Caenorhabditis elegans: one gene and its partner. The protein of the gene in region 1 interacts with the protein of each later gene in a biochemical or structural test. Each region holds a gene or a part of one and is shown on either strand. Other genes may lie near its edges. The genes, in order: unc-27 and mup-2.

Region 1 (3,593 bases):
TGGTCTTAATATTTACCTGTACGGTGCAGATCTTTGCTGATGACAACGCGTGAGGAACAATGATGAAACATAACTTTCACACGTAGCACACATGGCAACCGGTTTTGTTCAAAAAAAACCTTTCCGAACGATCATTAACACTTATCAAGTATGTTTAATGAAAACATTTAAACTTTGCCATTTAAATAATCTTAAAAATGTTCCCCAATTAGATTTGAATTAATCTTTGAAAACTGATAGGAAAAACTTGTCTGATACCAGTTTTTTTTTGTTTATTAGACTCAGTAATATACTAGTACAGTACTTTTGGAAAACTATTGACTTTTCATTGAAATGTGCTCTCCTGTTTGCTTTTCCAAGCTATCAACTTCCCTTGATTTTCTCCATAGATCACGATAATCTTCAAATTTACTGCAGCATTGTATCATAACAGCTAAACTGTGAATATGAATATTGCTGATTAAGTTCTGCACAATTAAAAGAGATATTTTCATGTATCAATTTTCAACAGATGGAAACTTGATCGAAATTTTGAAATTGCAAGAACAGTTTTTTTGGCGTCTGTGGTGTTGAATGTTGTGAGTGTTTCAAAATTGTGTCAAAAATATTTGAAATACTTTTTGAAACGTTATCTGACAAATGAGTTTGTCAAAGCGTCCCAAAATTATTCGCACTATTCTTAGAGCCCAGGAGAGTGATCCTCTCATGTTTTCCTCCCACGTTCTCCTTCACTTATCACTTTTAACCAGACACTCCCTACTACACTTCACACTTCCTTCTCATATTTCTTCAAGGATTCAAACACACAAGTCTGACCACCAAGATTTTATTAGCACACACGTTGTTGACATTTAAATTTCCGGGACCCATCGAAGGAAGAATAAAATGGTAAAAAAGTATTTTACAAACTACAGAATATTGATGTTGGCATATTTTTTTTTGGGGAGGGGGGTTGTTCGGTTTGATGACGTCGATTTGGATGATGTTGAGCAGGATTGAAGTGATGGATTTAGGAGTTTACTCCTCCTCCTCCTCCTCTCCTTCCTCTTCCTCTGCAAGTTTTCAGTTATCGAGAAAATCTAAATCATTTTTGACAAACCGGCTTCTGGCTCAGCCTCGGCTTCCTCTGCAACTGGCTCAGCTTCTGGAGCAACGGCAGCTGGAGCGGAGTCTTCGGCCTTGGCATCCTTGTTCTTCTTGGACCAATCTGGCTTGTCGTCCTTCTTCTTCTGAAATTGAAATATTTGTTTATCAAAATTCTCGAACATTGCAGATAAAACTTACAACATTGACGATGGCCTCCATAACGTCCTTCTTGACAATCTTGAGGTTGGCACGGAAGTCTTCCTTGGTTCCGGCCTTGCTCTCACCGCTCTTCTTGAACTTGTTGTCGTACTTCGACACCTTCTTGAGTGAAGGCTTGACGCTGAAAAATAAAAAGTAAAATCAATACTTTGGATGATTTTACATATATGGGAAATTCATCAAAAACTGATAAAAACTCACAACTTTCCACGAAGATCGTTGACCTCAATAGTGAGGGAGTTGATCTCAGCCTCAGTCTGGGAGACGACGTAGTTGATGTCGTACTTCTCCTCCTCGAGCTGGGTAAGACGAGCCCAGAGGTCATTGTAGATCTTCTCGAGTTGTCCCTTATCATCAATGGAGTCAACATTTGGAAGTGAGATGGTTCTGTCAGCAAGAGCCTTTTGTCTTTCTTGCTCCTTAAGCAATTGTTGTCTCTTAAGATCCTCGGCGGCCTTGACCATCAAAAGCTTCTGAAATCAAAAATAAGTTAAACATTTAAGTGTTCCAAAAACACAACTTACACGAAGCTTCTTCTTACGCTCTGGTGTCAAGAATCCCTTCTTGGCCTTCTTCTTGTTTCCGGCCTCTTCGAGACGCTTGCGCACCTCGGCCTTCTTGGCCTCGCGCTCGGCAGCTTTGCGCTGGGCGTCCTCTCCGGCTTCTTCACTCATCTGAAATTTTAGTTTGGGGTACAAGTATCACAAAACAGAAGATTAAATTCACAAAATGAATAATTTTTGAATGAGCATAAAACAAATTAGCGGCGAGCCTGATCATGCATCCGAAGGCCTTGTGAATTGAAATCTGAAGTATCCTGCCAATAGATGTCGCAACTCGTGAGAGGTACCTAGAGTTGGCAACAGCCGCCCCACAAACCGCCCGCCCTCCAATTCTGTATCTTTGGGTCTCTCGGACAATGCCATACAGACAGATGCTCTTTCCAACACGTCTCCCGCTTGTTGTAATGATTCTTGCCTACCAATTGCGTTGGCCGAGATTGATTGAAGACAAGCGAGAGATAGGGATAGAGCTGTGGCAACTTCAGTGGAAAAAACCAACGGAACGCGGCAAGAAGATATTGGTTTCAGATGGGGCAGTGGGTCAAGTTATGAGCTATTCGGTGAATGGGGCTCCGAACAATTTATGAAGCTAGTCTGTAGTTTTTCTGTATTTTCAAAAAGAAGATATGTGATCAAAAATCAAAATCGTACTACTAAAAATACCTAAACAATTTTTAAAATAACATACTGATTTTTCAACGGTGTCACTGAGTTCATCAATTCGATTGCTTTTTTGTAGTTGTGACATGGCTCGCTAGTGAGATCTGTAAATATTTGTTGGATAAATTGTTTCAAAAGTGAATTGGAACATGACATTTTTCATCAGAATCAAGAATAATTTTATTTATTTTTTCACAGTGTTTTGTTTTCAACCATTTCTCTTTCAGTTCCATAATTTCATGCTGTCACGTAGGATTTGAGTAGGTCAGAAAACAAAAAAACCTAAAAAAAAATTGACAAGCTGACAAGTGTGACGTGTGGAAAAATACAATAAAAATAGTCACGGTGGCCGGTGAGACTCTCTTGAAATTCAATATGTTAGGGACCATGAGTTGAAAGTGTTGCGAGGTGTGGGCAGATGTTTGAGATTTGTGATAAGTGATAAAGAAAAAAGATAGCGGGGATAATGAAATTGGGTATGCAAATCATCATTAGTTATCACAAAAAGTTGAATATTATTACTTTCAAATTGAATTTATCAGTTGTTATCATAAAGTAGTTATTTTTGACAAGACTATAAAATAAGTGAATCTAAATCATTAAAAAAATCACACATTCAAAAATCAGATCACAACGAGAAAAATCTACATTTTCCAACAATGGTAAATAACAACCCGAAACTTGTAAATAAATTCCAATTCCCTGTAACTATTTTCACACCCATTTTAGTTTATGGAGTAGTGATGGATTAAACCGATCTATTGTCCTGTTTATTTTTAACACTTTTTTCCATAAACATTCACATTCTTATCTTGAATTGTTTTCAACTGTGTTATCACGCTTTTCTGCCAATCTCCGAATAGTTTACACTGTTTTCTTCTGATGCGGCAAGCTCTATCTTTCTTTTGATACATTGTTCATTGCAACGAGTATATAGAGAAAGAGAAACATCGGAAGAAGATACAGAAAAATAGCTGATGGAGGCGATGATGATGTTTTGGTTAAAAACGTTGAGCAGTAGTGGGGGCACAAGTGTTACGAAATATTATTATACATGAGCGGTTG
Region 2 (4,100 bases), 2.4 Mb from region 1:
ATCCCAATTATTGAAAATTTATGCTCGTTAGTCTTTGTATCCCAATTGATTATTTCTTCTCACTTCAAAATTCTATTTTTCTGTTGTCATTTTATTGTACATTTCTCGATTTCCTGGTGTAAACTTTGTTGCTTCTCGGTTGTAATTCTCTACTGAAACCCAGTTCCTCACTGTTCTCGCCCCGTTGCTTTCATTTCTCACTTTGCGAAAAAAAAACATAAGCAAATACTATGAGGCCTATTTGTCAGACTTTCCAGATGTTCTTCCCAACCATAACTACTCCCCAAACTCTAAAAATTCCCCAGGTCGTTTTCAAAATTGGCCCCAGATGTGTGTCTCGTATCTGTTTTGCTTATTCAAATCTAACCAATAACTTTTATTTTTGAATTTGATAACTTGATTTTGAATTTGATAATGTGTATAATTTTTATCATAGAATGTTTTCAAATGCCTCTCTGATTAGTTTGTTACACACATCAAACTGTGGCGTGTCATGCCGATTTTCTCTCCTACCACAAAAAACTTTGCCCCAGAAATTCATCAACTTTGCTGTTGTAAGCAAATTTTTTCTCACCGCTTTCAAACGATTATTTTTCTCATTAGCTAGATCCCAATTTCTCATATTTTTCCAATTCCGTCTTAGTCCTTTCCTTTTTCAATTTATATTATTCATATATATTTTTTCCGTTGACTCGACTTATTCAAACTTTAATAATAAATATTATAATCAAAATTTGTCTTTCCACGAATTCTTGTTTTAATCTGTTTCATGAAATGCTTACAATTCGAATGGGAATGCAATTTTTATGATAAAGACTTTACTGATAAGCACAAACCGGAGAGTATGCAGAAACAGAGTACTTGAAGAATTGGAGAATTGGTTAATAAATTGGAAACAAATGCAAAAAGTTTTGATTGGAATATTAGAAAATGGATTTTTTTTGGTTGGGATTGGGTTTATTTTAATAAATTTGATAATCAAAAAATTGTGAAATGAAAAAAGGTAAAAAACAGGAAATTTATTCGACAACGACCTCTTCTCCAACATTTGGATCCTCGGTGACTTGTTGTGGCTCGAAGTCATCAGTTGGAACGAAGAGTGGGACTGGCTCGACTGGTGCTCTGGCTCCCTCAACCTTGACCTGCTCAACGTACTTTGGTGGCTCCAAGTTTTTGCGGATCTGCTCGAGTTCTTCGTTTTGCTTGCGTCCCCACTCTGCTGGTGGTCGTCCGGTTCCGCGGACGAGGGAAGCCTGCTTCTCCTCTTCTGGGTTCTCGAACAAGTACCGACGGTCTCCGTAAGATCTTCTGTCGGTTTGACGGTCGAACTTAGAAGCGGTGGTGATCTTTGGTGGATGGACAGAGGAAGCAGCCTCCTCTGGGTCAAGTCCCTTCTTGAGAGCCTTGTTACGGGCGGCTTGACGTTGACGCTCGTGTAACTCTTTCATCTGAAGTAATTGAAATTTGGTTGAATGTCACACACAATATCAAATAAGTCTCATTGAATAGTTTAAACTTACGTCATAGTCTTGACGTTCACGTCTCTTCTCCAAGTCGTACTTCTCAGCCTCGAGCTTGACGATACGAGCATGAAGGCCTCTGATTCTCTCCTTCAAATCGTTTGGAAGAAGTCCAGAGACGTCTTGTACACGGCAGACGGCGGCCAAGAAGTTTCTCTTGGCATCCTCCATCTGTTCCTTGCTCATGACATCCTTTCCTCCCTTAGCCTGAAAGTTTCTTAATTAGTATTCGATTTAAAAATGATACAATAAAAATACCTGAGCCAAGTTTCCGAATTGAGCAGCTTGGTCTCCCTTGGAGGCGACAGTGAAGTTGCGTCCAGCTCCGGCTTCAACTCTTCCGTTGAAAGCTCCAGCCATCATTTGTTGACGACGGACCTTCTCCTCGTTCTTGCGGATCTTCTCGGCATCAGCCTTAGCCTTGCGTTCGTCTTCTTCCTTGCGACGGCGCTCGTCATCTTGACGTCTACGTTCAGCGAACTGACGCTCGTCCTCTTCACGCTCAGCTCGGCGCTTCTCTTGCTTCTCCTTGAGTTCACGAAGCTCTTGTTCGATTTGCTCCTTCTCAAGAACACGGCGCTGCTCGTAATCGAGAAGTTTAGCGGCTTCCTCTTCCTCGTGACGCTTCTTGGCGGCCTAGATATGAATTTGGTTAACAATTTTATGAATGAAACGGAAGGTCTCCCAAGAAGTTATACTCACCAACATGGCAATCTCAGCCTCAGTCATCTCCGCTGGTGGCTTCTCCTCTTGGACTGGAGCACGACGCTCCTTGACCTCTGGTGGAGCGACTACTTCCTCGGTGGTCTCCTCTCTACAATTTCAGTGTTATACAAAAAATCACGAATTCAAAGCTTAAACTTACGGCTCTTCAGCCTCAGCTGGGGCCTCTTCGGTCTCCTCGACCTCCTCCTCCTCGACCTCCTCATCAGAGCTAAAAAATTAAAAATTAGAATGTCTAGAAAAATGATAGGTATATAACTTACTATACCTCCTCCTCGTCGGACATGATTAGTTAGGTTTAGGTTCTGTAATTATATGAAAGTTAAATTCTCAAAATTCAAAATCTCAAAACATATTGATAAGAAGTGATGACACAGAAGAAGAAGGAAATTTGAGTATGTGCCGGTGGGATGTTGAAATCGACAATGAAGAGATATGAAAGTGCTTGCTCCGGGAGGCCGTCGTTGGCAGATAAGTGGGAGGGGCTGGCGGGAGCGGGAGCTCTCAGGGAAAAGAAAAGTATAACATACGGACACAATCTGTGCTGTAAACCTTACACCTACGCAGAGTGAGCAGCCGTGCCCTCCTCGTGTGGCTCTCGTCTTTCTCTCTGCCTGGGGCTTCCCGCGGGCAGTCTGCGTTTCCTCAGAATACGCAGACTTCTGTGATGTGCTATCGTAGAAATAGGGCATCATGTTTCGATCCGAAGGCTCAATATATTTTTGAATCACCAACATTGATTCGAGAAACGGGTTTCTCTGCTTCTCTCTCGATCACCAAGATGTGCACTTCACTATCTCTTCCTCCTACGCTGACACAGACAAGGGACCAACAAGAGACAGATGATGATGAAGAGTTTGGACAAGTTGAAAAAAACAACATAGTTTATACTGGTCAATTGATAAAAATTTCTAACAAGTAGTTAATATGTTTTAGAAATTACTGTGATTTTCCTATTATTCTTGTATCTTCCACTGCACACTAATTCTAATTGGTCAGCTTTAAAATAATAAAAACGCGTTAAATATTTATGTGGTTCAAAAAGTTTTGTTAAAATTTAGGTAAAATACGGTAAACTTATTTTATAATTACGAATTTTCAATGAATCATCACTTTTATTTAAATATTTTAACGCGCAAATGAAAACGTAGTGCTCTTTAAAATTGATCCATTTAAAGTAAACAAATCATTTTAATATTTCTACAAATATTAAATTTCAAAATTCAATGTTTAGAAATCAATGATATTTGTGTAATAGTTTCCAATTTACCGAGGCACCTTGCCAATCGGCTATCATCTTTTTCCAACAAGCTCGTTTCCACCAAAAATCCACTCACAGTGGCCCCTGCAATAAGACAAGCGGGGCGAGCATACGAATAATATTTGGGTGGCACAATTGTAAAAACGCAAAACAATAATACAAATATTCTTTCTTTTCATTTGAATGCAGCTGATGATCTTCGAGACGTTTTCATTCAAATTCTTGTAAGCCAGTGTCAATTGGCCGTCTGGTTCAGTTGCGGGGATCCAATTAAGGGAATTTGAAAAATTGATTCTAAATAATAAATAAAACATTAATTTCAAAGAACATAATAATAAACAAGGCAAAAAAATTACGAAAAGTGTGTTCAATGTGGTGACAACAGTCCACACTAATTAAATTATTGCAAAAAAATAGTGTTATTCTAAGAAATACGAACATCTTTGTGAAATACAAAATAAATGTAGTAATTAATCATCAATTTCAAAACTTTAGTCTAATTAATTTGATATTAACATATGAGATCAAAGATATAGATTACATTTTCGAAAATGTCAAAAAATTACCCTTATTCAGAAAATGTATGTTTTTGACAC

What was found.
Region 2: the proteins of unc-27 (region 1) and mup-2 interact in far-western blotting, tested with the Caenorhabditis elegans proteins (one study listed by BioGRID).

The regions. Positions count from the first base shown.
Region 1 is NC_003284.9:8,787,842-8,791,434, reverse strand, and holds unc-27 (Troponin I 2), read right to left. Parts: upstream 1,980-3,593; coding exon 1,830-1,979; intron 1,779-1,829; coding exon 1,507-1,778; intron 1,427-1,506; coding exon 1,285-1,426; intron 1,230-1,284; coding exon 1,100-1,229; intron 1,053-1,099; coding exon 1,018-1,052; 3' UTR 814-1,017; downstream 1-813.
Region 2 is NC_003284.9:6,407,680-6,411,779, forward strand, and holds mup-2 (Troponin T), read right to left. Parts: upstream 2,549-4,100; 5' UTR 2,530-2,548; coding exon 2,507-2,529; intron 2,455-2,506; coding exon 2,386-2,454; intron 2,335-2,385; coding exon 2,223-2,334; intron 2,157-2,222; coding exon 1,779-2,156; intron 1,728-1,778; coding exon 1,521-1,727; intron 1,449-1,520; coding exon 1,020-1,448; 3' UTR 792-1,019; downstream 1-791. UniProt on the Caenorhabditis elegans protein: Troponin T is the tropomyosin-binding subunit of troponin, the thin filament regulatory complex which confers calcium-sensitivity to muscle actomyosin ATPase activity.